Saccharomyces cerevisiae S288C: one gene and its partners. Changing the gene in region 2 together with the main gene of any one other region gives a genetic interaction. Each region holds a gene or a part of one and is shown on either strand. Other genes may lie near its edges.

What was found.
Region 1: mutations in SRY1 (region 2) and PAR32 together harm fitness more than expected from each alone (negative genetic interaction), as found in Saccharomyces cerevisiae (2 studies listed by BioGRID).
Region 3: mutations in SRY1 (region 2) and RDL2 together harm fitness more than expected from each alone (negative genetic interaction), as found in Saccharomyces cerevisiae (2 studies listed by BioGRID).
Region 4: mutations in SRY1 (region 2) and SLM3 together harm fitness less than expected from each alone (positive genetic interaction), as found in Saccharomyces cerevisiae (2 studies listed by BioGRID).

The regions. Positions count from the first base shown.
Region 1 is NC_001136.10:146,533-149,578, reverse strand, and holds PAR32 (Par32p), read right to left. Parts: upstream 1,389-3,046; coding exon 501-1,388; downstream 1-500. Other genes in the region: GLT1 (glutamate synthase (NADH)), read left to right, coding at 1-376; DLD1 (D-lactate dehydrogenase), read left to right, coding at 1,990-3,046. UniProt on the Saccharomyces cerevisiae protein: Involved in resistance to cisplatin.
Region 2 is NC_001143.9:16,859-20,043, forward strand, and holds SRY1 (threo-3-hydroxy-L-aspartate ammonia-lyase SRY1), read right to left. Parts: upstream 1,482-3,185; coding exon 501-1,481; downstream 1-500. UniProt on the Saccharomyces cerevisiae protein: Catalyzes the deamination of L-threo-3-hydroxyaspartate to oxaloacetate and ammonia. Shows a high specificity towards L-threo-3-hydroxyaspartate as other 3-hydroxyaminoacids, i.e.
Region 3 is NC_001147.6:848,675-851,229, forward strand, and holds RDL2 (thiosulfate sulfurtransferase RDL2), read left to right. Parts: upstream 1-1,605; coding exon 1,606-2,055; downstream 2,056-2,555. Other genes in the region: HUA2 (Hua2p), read left to right, coding at 1-535; thiosulfate sulfurtransferase RDL1, read left to right, coding at 961-1,380; rRNA-processing protein RRP36, read right to left, coding at 2,263-2,555. UniProt on the Saccharomyces cerevisiae protein: Thiosulfate sulfurtransferase which catalyzes the transfer of sulfane sulfur from thiosulfate to cyanide.
Region 4 is NC_001136.10:392,159-395,550, forward strand, and holds SLM3 (tRNA-5-taurinomethyluridine 2-sulfurtransferase), read right to left. Parts: upstream 1,755-3,392; coding exon 501-1,754; downstream 1-500. Other genes in the region: ATP-dependent RNA helicase DBP10, read left to right, coding at 2,059-3,392. UniProt on the Saccharomyces cerevisiae protein: Catalyzes the 2-thiolation of uridine at the wobble position (U34) of mitochondrial tRNA(Lys), tRNA(Glu) and tRNA(Gln).

The DNA of each region.
Region 1 (3,046 bases), on a different chromosome or scaffold from region 2:
GTCACAAAGTGGCGTATGGCAAATGGTAGAAATTCCCAACAGTGAAGAGATCTTTGAAGCCGATATCATTTTGTTGTCTATGGGTTTCGTGGGTCCTGAATTGATCAATGGCAACGATAACGAAGTTAAGAAGACAAGACGTGGTACGATTGCCACACTCGACGACTCCTCATACTCTATTGATGGAGGAAAGACTTTTGCATGTGGTGACTGTAGAAGAGGGCAATCTTTGATTGTCTGGGCCATCCAAGAAGGTAGAAAATGTGCTGCCTCTGTCGATAAGTTCCTAATGGACGGCACTACGTATCTACCAAGTAATGGTGGTATCGTTCAACGTGATTACAAACTATTGAAAGAATTAGCTAGTCAAGTCTAAAAAGCTTGAGTTATTATTTATTTTATGATCGTATATTATTTATTTATTTATTTATTTATTTATTTATTTATTTATTTATTTATTTATTTTATTTAGTTTATTAATTTTGCTGATGAATGTTATTTCAATTAAACATAGTTTTCAAAGAACTGAAAAACCCTGATTTCTTCTTCTTCTTCTTCTTCTTCTCTTTACCATTGTCATCTTTCAAATTAAACTTATCTTCATCATCATCGTTTAAGTTATGGTTGATAGTGTTCCTGCTTGACTTTGGAGAAATTATGTTTCCAGCGCCACCTCTTCCAATAGCAAATTTTTCCGGTGCGCTTTTGCCCTTGAGCTTATTTTTAGGCTTCTTGGACGTGGACTTGATTGCCGCCAAAGCATTGCCATTGGAAGTCACCACAAACAGGTTGTCCTCGTTTGCATTGATAGTATCCTCATCCTCGATATTGCCGCCTCGTATCTCATCCTCTTCATTTCCACCATTGCTGGCCACCTTTTTTTTGTTGAAGAAAATGTTTCCTGCCCCACCTCTACCAACGACAATTGGGGCGTTGTTGTTCGGAGACGAAGTGGTGGCATGCAAAGACTGATGGCTCCTTGTAGCGCTGATACGAGACCTGGTGTTGGTCACCGGGTTTGACCCACCTTCATCCACCATATCCGAAGTTATAGGGGAAATATAATCGTCGATGTCATTGATCACGTCGTTATAGTTGATATTGTCGTTAGAGTCCAGTTGTTGGGCGGATCTCGTCAGGTGCGGATCATGAAAGATATTACCGGCACCACCTCTACCAATTGCAAAACGAGGAACCTTTTCCTGGTTGCTACCGTTATTATTGTTGTTTGCTACTGTCTTTGAATTGGATTTCAATGGAAGAAGTACGGGAGACGGCTTGGACATAGATTTATGGATGTTGCCAGCTCCGCCTCTGCCAGTGGAGACCTTGTACTCTTGTACACGTGCCTGGTTCTCCATCTCGTTTTGTGGGTTGAACGTAGCCATACTAACTTGGTCTTACGCTACTGCTGCTGCTAACGCTGCTGCTGCTTTTGCTCATATGCTTCCATTGACCGTCATTAGTATCAGCGTCAGCCTTTTTGACATAAGCCACCGCTCTGTCAGGGTAACCCTATGAAACATTTCAAAACGTTATAAAGGAACTCGTCTGGTTACAACAAGGAAATATCACTACAAACAGCTGTCCGTACGGCTCCTCAACTCTCTCAATGTTGTTCGCCTGGTCACACACAGCATAGTTTCGTCATTCGGCGCCGACGGTCGCTGTCTCTTGGAGCCTTCAAGCTCTTGTCAACCCAGGTCCGTTGTGCCGATAAAAGTAACAGCAGACCCCCACGCCCGCATCCCACTCTCTTCTCCGACCACCTCCCTCGAAGTTCTTCCCTGCCAATCCCACGTCGATCCAGCGTAGTTGGCCCCAACTGGTGCAGTAATAACCGCTTAGCGATTTTGCACTCGGAACTACATATGTATATATATATGTGTGTGTGTGTGTGGGCTGGAAAGATTTCTTGAGCTTCCGTGTTATAGTGCAATTTAAATATTGTACATCATTCCGATCCAGCTGGAAACAAAAGCAAGAACAATGTTGTGGAAGCGTACTTGCACAAGGCTAATAAAGCCTATTGCACAACCTAGAGGAAGGCTGGTGAGAAGATCATGCTACAGATACGCCTCAACAGGCACAGGCAGCACCGACAGCAGCAGCCAGTGGTTAAAATACTCTGTCATCGCCTCTTCAGCTACTCTATTCGGTTATTTGTTCGCTAAGAACCTCTATTCTAGGGAGACTAAGGAAGATTTGATAGAGAAGCTGGAAATGGTCAAAAAGATCGACCCAGTAAATTCTACGTTAAAGCTGTCCTCATTGGACTCACCAGACTATTTGCACGACCCGGTTAAGATCGATAAGGTTGTTGAGGACCTGAAGCAGGTGCTGGGAAACAAGCCTGAAAACTACTCTGATGCGAAATCCGATTTGGACGCCCATTCAGATACCTACTTCAACACGCATCACCCCTCTCCCGAGCAAAGACCTAGGATTATATTATTCCCTCATACTACCGAAGAAGTTTCCAAAATTTTGAAAATATGTCACGATAACAACATGCCAGTTGTACCCTTCTCGGGCGGAACGTCCTTGGAGGGGCACTTCCTGCCTACAAGAATTGGAGATACCATAACCGTAGACCTGTCCAAGTTTATGAATAACGTCGTAAAATTTGACAAGCTGGACCTGGACATCACCGTGCAGGCCGGTCTACCCTGGGAGGATTTGAATGACTATTTGAGCGACCACGGTTTGATGTTTGGCTGTGACCCTGGTCCAGGTGCACAGATTGGTGGTTGCATTGCTAATTCTTGTTCAGGAACCAACGCCTACCGTTACGGTACCATGAAGGAGAATATTATAAACATGACTATAGTGTTGCCGGACGGGACCATTGTCAAGACGAAGAAAAGACCCAGAAAGTCGAGCGCTGGCTATAACTTAAATGGTTTATTTGTGGGAAGTGAAGGTACCTTAGGTATTGTTACTGAAGCTACTGTCAAGTGTCATGTCAAGCCCAAAGCTGAAACTGTTGCGGTGGTATCCTTTGATACTATCAAGGATGCGGCCGCATGTGCTTCTAATCTGACTC
Region 2 (3,185 bases):
AGAGCAGACGATATTGTGTGTGGAAAAGAGAATTTTTTCTGCGTATAAAATAGGACATTATGACAGTTACCTTTAATTGAAGTAGAGATATGTTTTTTCAACTTAGAAGCTATGTCTTTACTGGGTGTAAGCCTAGGAACGCTCTTCTGTTTTAGTTCAAAATATGCAAAAGAAACTAATATACCAGTAATGCTCATAGTCACAGTCAGAAGTTATATTATTAGTTTGACATAAGCAGTATTCTTCCCTCTCACACACTATCATTCTGCCAAAAAATTTTCCCACATAAGGGTGTCAGTTCAGTGAAATATAATACTAGTAGAAAAATATGTAGAGTTATCAGAGTATAAATCAGCTAGAGGCTTTTTTTGCTGAACTCACTTCAAAATCTCAACCATGTTATTAATGTTAAGTCAAATGATATATGCCGTGTGAAAGTAGACAACTAAAGCTTTCCAATTCTTCACTATAAAACTGAACTCAAAATTCAAAAGTATACACTAAATCGTTGGGCCATCTTCCTTCCCAGAGATTAAAGTAGCATATCTCTTCATGTCTACATTACCTCCACTTAGTATTATGCCTACTTTCTTCCCAACTAGCTCTTCCTTTTTTAGAAGTGCACCTGCAAATCCCAAACAAGCTGTGGGCTCAACAACCACCTTCATGCGTTCCGCAAGAAAGTGCATGCATTTTACTAGCTCTTGGTCGCTAACCGTTAAAATATCATCGACATTTTCGCGAATAATGGCAAATGTGTACTCACCGAGGTGTTGTGTTTGAGCGCCATCTGCGATAGTTTTTGGCGTATTGATATGAACAATGGAACCCGATCTGAAGGATTGTTGTCCATCGTTACCAGCTTCAGGTTCAACCCCAAAAATTTTGCAGCCTGGAGAAAGGCTTCTAGCGGCAAGTGCAGATCCTGAAAGGAGCCCACCACCGCCCAAAGGAACAAATAATGCATCAAGTTGTCCAACCTCTTCTAATAGCTCTTTTGCCGACGTACCTTGCCCTGCAATAACATCAGGATGATCGTAGGGCGGAATCAATGCAAAACCATGTTCGGCTGCTAGTTGACGCCCAATCTGCTCGCGATCTTCAGTATACCTGTTATACCTTATGATATGTGCTCCGTAACCGGCTGTAGCAGCAACTTTAAGGGCGGGCGCATCCTCGGGCATAACAATTGTTGCAGGTACATTTAATAGTTTTGCACTAAGAGCAATAGCCTGTGCATGGTTTCCTGATGAGAAGGCAATTACTCCCTTACTTCTTTTTTCATCACTTAATTTTGAAACAGCATTCATTGCTCCACGAAACTTGAACGCTCCCACTCGTTGGAAATTCTCACCTTTAAAGTATATTTGTGCTCCAAGTCGATCATTAAGCATTCGTGAAGTGAGAACCGGTGTTTTATTTACATATTCTTTAATTCTGTTGCTGGCATCCAAAACGTCTCCATAAGTGGGAACAATCATTTTTCCAACTCAATGAAAACTAAATATCTCGAACTATATTAATTATTTGTACTTTTTAAGTTTTTTTTCAATACTCCTTTATTTGAATTTTTGCAGAATGAAAATGTAACTCTTTATATTCCAAAGCTTATCTTTTTCTCACGTACCGTCCTATAGACCCTGATTTTATGATAAGAGGCTGAATTTACTAATTAGTCATTTTTTTCAGTTTTTTTGTCATAGAAGCCACATTTAAAAGAAGTCAGCCAAGTTACCTGTAAATATTAAAACAACCTGCTTAGAATGACTGTTAATTTACAGAATTTACGATAAAAATATAACTTGGCTCTAGGGCGTGATGATAGTGACAAAAAACTCGTCAAGTAAATGTTGGGAGCTTACTTGCCGTCGTTTTCTAACGCCAAAATACACGAATCATGTTTGGGAAATATAAGTGATTAGAACTTGTCCAAGGATATTGTCAAACAATAACATACTACAATAATCCTAGATCGTGTATTATTTGCGTATGGATAAATATACCTCAAGCTTTATGAGGCATAGAAAATTCATTAGAGTCACTACTTACGTCGCACTCTCGAGGATTGGAATGACGAAATCTTCTTCAGCATTTCACCATTCACCTTTTGAAGCTTCCTATCTCGTTGCTTAAGTAGAATGAAAGCATAGCAGCCCAAAAGAAAAGCCTCCCTCAGCAAGAATATTAACAAAGAACAATTCATGGACCGTTTCTACTACTTAATATCTCTATCACAACTGTCAGTCTCAATCAGTACTTAAATGACGCTGCAGAAAAAGATATCATTATTTTTATCATCCCCCTAATAAAATAAGTAATGAATCAATGCCATTAATTCGGGAACTAGTCATATACCTAAGGAATCAGGCTTTGATAGCTCTTTAATAATAATATTAGGGCATTTTTGATATGGTAAAAGATTAGATTAGGAAACCCCTTTTGTAGAGCATCTCACTACAATATCTGCAAAAACGGTCACCTTGCATAGGCAGAACACGCTACCTTTGAGTTAATTCACAGGGGAGAGCCCTTTTTTTTTCTTAGCAAAAGTGCTTAACAATCTTAATTTCTGGAATGTTTTCGGCGGATTGTTGTATATTGTTTGAATTTGTTCGTTCTAAAAAGTGAGACACCTGCACTTTCCACGCCAAGAACACTAATACCTTTAAACATGCCAGCGTACTTTAAAATGCCACGAGTCGCCCCGTACCAAACATGCTGGCGATTGTAATTTTTCGCCTTTTATTGGAATCGAGAATTCGGGCACTGTCCTTTTCTTCGTCATTTCAATGTTATAATCATTTTTATCGCCAAATTTTCTTCAATAAAAGGTCTCTTTTAAAATATGTTACTATGTTTTTTATTTTTCTATTATTTTTCTATGTGATTTTTCAGACGATTTATTCTTTGTTCGAAGGAGAACAGATGCAACGGTCAAGTTTTTACTATCCACATGAGGAGCCGTAATATTCTAAAGGCAAAAGCATGTGTGCTTGTAAAAAAAAATCAAAAAAAGTTACTGCTCCAAGCCAGCAAGCTTTCTCTTTTGCGAAATCTTTAACACGGTTAAAATCAAAGACAATTACTTCATTGACAAGGTCAATGCTAATATTTACGGTCTCCGCACGAAAGACTCTGAAAAATGTTAAAATTTATAGTGGCTAATGCTAATTCAAGAATAGTCT
Region 3 (2,555 bases), on a different chromosome or scaffold from region 2:
GCAGAAGTACTACGACGCGTTTCTACAACTTTTACAGAAAAGGAACAAATCATTACAATGTAAGAGGTCCACTCACCAGCCGGTCCCATCCCCAATGAATAGCCAGACATCAACAAATGCAAAGGTTAATTTGAGCGGAAAGCTTATGAAGTTTCAGCTAAATAGTGTACAAAAGTTCGACGAAGAAAATATACTAAGGATTCTGCAAAATAAAATAGAATTCGAACATTATTTCCAAATTGATAAAGGTAAGAAGCAAAAGGTGCTATTACTTGCCGTATATCAATGCCTCAATGGGCCAACACGTTTGCATAAAGTGCTTAATATTGAGGGAATTATACATAATAATAGTATCAGAACTATACTGGGCAAACAAGTGTCCAGTTCTAAGTGGACAGTGTTTCTGTACGATGTAAAACTAGTTTTATTGGCGCATAGACAAGATGTTCCGAACTTAGAAACTAGCAAGATGATCGTCAGATATGGTGATTTATTTCCCTGTGCATTGTACTTCAAAGATCATACAGCATACTAAGCGCTTTCCAGGGACACCTTCTGTCGCAAAATATCAGAATTTTTCTTGATTAAACGCAGCATATTGAGTATATGAAATTAACGGGACACTGTGTGAAAAATTTGTAGTTGTACTTTTTTGTTATCCCCTTTGGTAGACATATGGACGAATTACTACTAAGATTGGCTTCCATAAGGCCCAAATCCAGATATCACCTACGGTATGTCCTTTTCCTACTTGCAATGACAAATAATTTGTTATTTATCTTGGAACCTATATAAGTTACATCTGATTGCTTTTGTATTTTTTTTGGAGAATATTATTACCCGCGGGGAAGGAAGTAAGGGGAGAATTTTTGAGGTGTATAAAAGAGAGTGGAGGCTTAATCAATCAAAGAATTCTTTCTCGTTTATTTTCAGGGTTTGTGACTAAGAAACGATATTAAAATGTGGAAGGCCGTGATGAATGCTTGGAATGGAACCGAGAGTCAAAGTAAGAATGTTTCAAATATTCAATCTTACAGTTTTGAAGACATGAAAAGAATCGTTGGAAAGCATGATCCTAATGTGGTTTTGGTAGATGTTAGAGAACCATCTGAGTACTCGATTGTTCATATTCCTGCTTCCATCAATGTGCCATATAGATCGCACCCTGACGCATTTGCCTTAGATCCTTTAGAATTTGAGAAACAGATTGGCATCCCAAAACCTGACAGTGCCAAGGAGCTAATATTTTATTGTGCTTCTGGCAAACGCGGGGGAGAAGCTCAAAAAGTCGCCTCCTCACATGGATATTCAAACACCTCACTATATCCTGGCTCTATGAATGATTGGGTTTCTCATGGGGGTGATAAACTTGACTTATAGCCTTGTATACTCTAGGTATGTACCCTGTGTATTTTCGTAAGCTAGTAACGTATTATGCCATTTATGTCACACCGTTCATAATATTTGCCTATTGCATTGGCTGTGATAGCGGCGGCGCAAAGAAATTAGGAAGTATAAAAAAAAAAATACAAAACTTAATCTGAATGGAATAAGATAGCGATAACTCTCAACAAATGGAAGCGAGACAGAAGAAAAAGACCAACGATGTTCAAGCATAGTACAGGTATTCTCTCGAGGACAGTTTCTGCAAGATCGCCTACATTGGTCCTGAGAACATTTACAACGAAGGCTCCAAAGATCTATACTTTTGACCAGGTCAGGAACCTAGTCGAACACCCCAATGATAAAAAACTATTGGTAGATGTAAGGGAACCCAAGGAAGTAAAGGATTACAAGATGCCAACTACAATAAATATTCCGGTGAATAGTGCCCCTGGCGCTCTTGGATTGCCCGAAAAGGAGTTTCACAAAGTTTTCCAATTTGCTAAACCACCTCACGATAAAGAATTGATTTTTCTTTGTGCGAAAGGAGTAAGAGCCAAAACTGCCGAAGAGTTGGCTCGATCTTATGGGTACGAAAACACTGGTATCTATCCTGGTTCTATTACTGAGTGGTTAGCTAAAGGTGGTGCTGACGTTAAGCCCAAAAAATAAGCCAAAAAGAAACAAGTATAATCGATATATCCTGTATATAGACAACCTTTTGTGTATTTCAAATTTTTTGTTGTCACCTCTCCGATTCATTCGATTTTCTCCTTGTGGTTCGCGGATAACCTCTTACTTCCATTAGTTTATGTGTGCGTTTATTTTTTTATCTTTCTCTATATATTACTTTAATGTGCATTCTTTTGCTTAAATACTCTACCTACGATTATGAAATTCAAATTGTTTAAACTCTTTACCCAATCTCTTCTTCCTTTTCCTTTCCATGACCTTTTCACGTTGCTTGGCCTTCATGTGATCAAATTTCCACTTTTGCACCACTTTACGTTTCTCAGACTTTTTCAAATGGTATCTCGTATTATTGTTTTTATTCATATCATTTTCGTATTCCTTGAGAATTTCACGCTCGAGATCTTTGTTTTTCATTGATTGCAATCTCGATTTCATACTTTTCAGTCTTTGTTCCATTTCTTCACGTTCTCCCTGGTCTA
Region 4 (3,392 bases), on a different chromosome or scaffold from region 2:
ACACACACACACACCTTCTTCTGGATACCGTAGAGAAAGGGATGTAGACAAATAAAAAAGGACAAAAGCTAGAAAAAAGACGGAAGAGGACGTGCGATTGCGTTGAATATGACCTTCGCAAATAAATATTAATAAATATGACGTTTTTGCCGCAATGCTAATTCTATAACCCACTCCTTCGTTGCCTTCTATGCTTTAATTAAACAATGGGTCCGGCTCAAACCTGGAAGGAAGATTTATAAATCTTGAAAAGAAAAAAAAGTGTGATTTAAAAAAATGAAAAAGAAAAACAAGAGGGCAAAAAAAAATGAACTACTTATTGAGACATGATTCAAGGGAAAAGACCTTCATATATACAGATTACTTTTCGAAATGGTCAGCCGCTTCATGAGCTCTTCTTGGCTGTATCGTACCACCGTGGTTCAATTAGGCAAGTATGTTGCTAAGATTAATTGCTGCGGCGCATCGTATAAGGTGATATACTAAATTCATTATCATCACTATGCATGGGTGTCATTATTATTAACATGGGAAATGGGCCCACTCCCAAGGACTCTATCGTCGATATATAGACAGCACGATTGCCCAGGAGTTATGGCACGTTGTTTTGAGGCTAAGTGTATTGTTATGTCGAGGTTGTCGGCAGAGCGATTCAGTTTGCACGATTTAATTTGGACTGGGACCTGCAGGGACCGGAATTGTAATGTCAAGGCACCAGTATTTTGGAAAGCGTTTATAGTGTCCTCCCTGGGGCCCAAAGACGAAAAGTTTTCGATTCGCATAGTGTCACTGTATAGCGCCGGATTATCTCTTCCTCTGACTATCAAGATTTCGTTGGTATCCCTTAGTTTTTCACTGACAAACCAGGTCCCTTGGTAATTAGGGTCAGCTTGTGGCATGGATATGCCCACTTTCTGTCCAATTGTGTAAGACCACAATCCATCGTGTCTGCCCCATGTCGTTTTGGCACCGGATTGTGGGTCAACGGTAATGATATCACCCGGTGAACTGGGTAGGTAGTGCTTTAAAAAATTCTTGAACTTCCCATGCTGGGAATTGTTGACGAAGCATATGCCCTGTGAATCAGGCTTTTCTGCAGTCGGGAGGCCTGCATACTTCGCTAAATCTCGTACTTCTGGTTTCGTTAGATGGCCAATGGGTAGCAACAAAGATGACAAAACAGTGGAGTTGATTTGTGAAAGGTAATAGCTTTGATCCTTGGGCCTATAAATGCTTCTCAGTAAATGGAATAATCCTTTTCCATTCATTTCCTGCATAACTCGGGCGTAATGACCAGTAACAAGCCAATAGTTACCCGTCCCATACTTCTCATCCAGCCACTCTCTCAGCTTGCCGAACTTGACGAACTTGTTGCAACCGATATCTGGATTGGGTGTCGACCCTTCACTGTAGCCTCTCAACATTGGTTCAAATACATCTATCCAATAATCTTGCTCAAAATTAACTTTGTCAACTCGGATGTTCAAATGCTTAGCGACACGGTTCACATCTCTCCAATCCCTCTCGTAGCATGGCTCCTTGCCAGGGTCGTCCAAAGATTGTGATTCAGACCAGTTCTGCATATATACTCCTCGGGTATTTGGAAATTCTCCGGCAAATAGTGCTGCCGCCACAGAGGAATCTACCCCAGATGACATTGCCACTATCACGTTGTCAAACTTTGCCGGTAGCCGCTGTGGTCTGTACGGTGAAGCACTCCTCCGTCCTATTAAATTTAAATATCTTGCCAGCATTGTTATCTGACTTGAATCGATTGCCAAATCAATACGCTCACATTTTTAACGTTCTTGTATGTTTCCAAACTTTCATTCTTTTACAATAAAGCAATGTTTTGCCTCAACTATTGAAAGAAAAAAATAAGAGACCAATTGTTACTACCCGGCGCTCTTAAAATTTTCAAGCGATGAGATGAAATTCATACAAAATGGCTTTACAGAGAGTTACTAGTACTTCACTAACTTCCTACTGCTTGAAGTAAAGTCACTAAAAGTACTTTTGTCATTTAAGTTACCACCACATATCTCTTTAACCTAGAATATGGCAGGCGTGCAGAAAAGAAAAAGGGATCTCGAAGATCAAGACGACAATGGAAGCGAGGAGGACGACATCGCCTTTGATATTGCAAATGAAATTGCCTTAAATGATAGTGAGAGTGATGCTAACGACTCCGATAGTGAAGTTGAAGCTGATTATGGTCCCAACGATGTCCAGGATGTGATCGAGTACAGCTCAGATGAAGAAGAAGGAGTGAACAATAAGAAGAAGGCTGAAAACAAGGACATCAAGAAAAAAAAGAATAGTAAGAAGGAAATAGCAGCATTTCCAATGTTAGAAATGTCAGATGATGAAAACAATGCATCTGGTAAAACTCAAACCGGTGATGATGAGGATGATGTCAATGAATATTTCTCCACAAATAACTTGGAGAAAACAAAGCATAAAAAAGGTAGTTTTCCCAGCTTTGGCCTATCCAAAATTGTATTGAACAATATTAAAAGGAAGGGATTTCGCCAACCCACTCCTATTCAAAGGAAGACTATCCCATTAATTTTGCAAAGTAGGGATATTGTTGGTATGGCACGTACCGGTTCTGGTAAGACTGCAGCATTCATCTTGCCAATGGTGGAAAAATTGAAAAGTCACTCAGGTAAAATTGGCGCCCGTGCAGTCATCTTATCGCCTTCCAGAGAATTAGCCATGCAGACTTTCAACGTTTTCAAGGATTTTGCCAGAGGAACAGAACTAAGAAGCGTCCTCTTGACTGGTGGTGATTCCTTGGAAGAACAATTTGGCATGATGATGACCAACCCAGACGTTATTATTGCAACACCTGGTAGATTTTTACATCTGAAAGTTGAAATGAACCTCGATTTGAAGAGTGTTGAGTACGTTGTTTTCGATGAAGCTGATAGGTTGTTCGAAATGGGTTTTCAAGAACAGTTGAATGAATTACTTGCATCTTTGCCTACAACAAGACAGACTTTGTTGTTTTCTGCTACTCTACCTAATTCATTGGTTGATTTTGTTAAGGCTGGTTTGGTTAATCCAGTTTTGGTTCGTTTGGACGCGGAAACGAAAGTTTCAGAGAACTTAGAAATGCTTTTTCTATCCAGTAAAAACGCAGATAGAGAGGCGAACCTATTATATATTTTGCAAGAAATCATAAAGATTCCGTTAGCCACTAGTGAACAACTTCAAAAGCTGCAAAATAGTAACAATGAGGCAGATAGTGACTCAGATGATGAAAATGATCGCCAAAAGAAGAGGAGGAATTTCAAGAAGGAAAAGTTCCGTAAACAAAAAATGCCTGCAGCTAATGAACTTCCTTCTGAAAAAGCAACTATTCTGTTCGTTCCAACAAGACATCATGT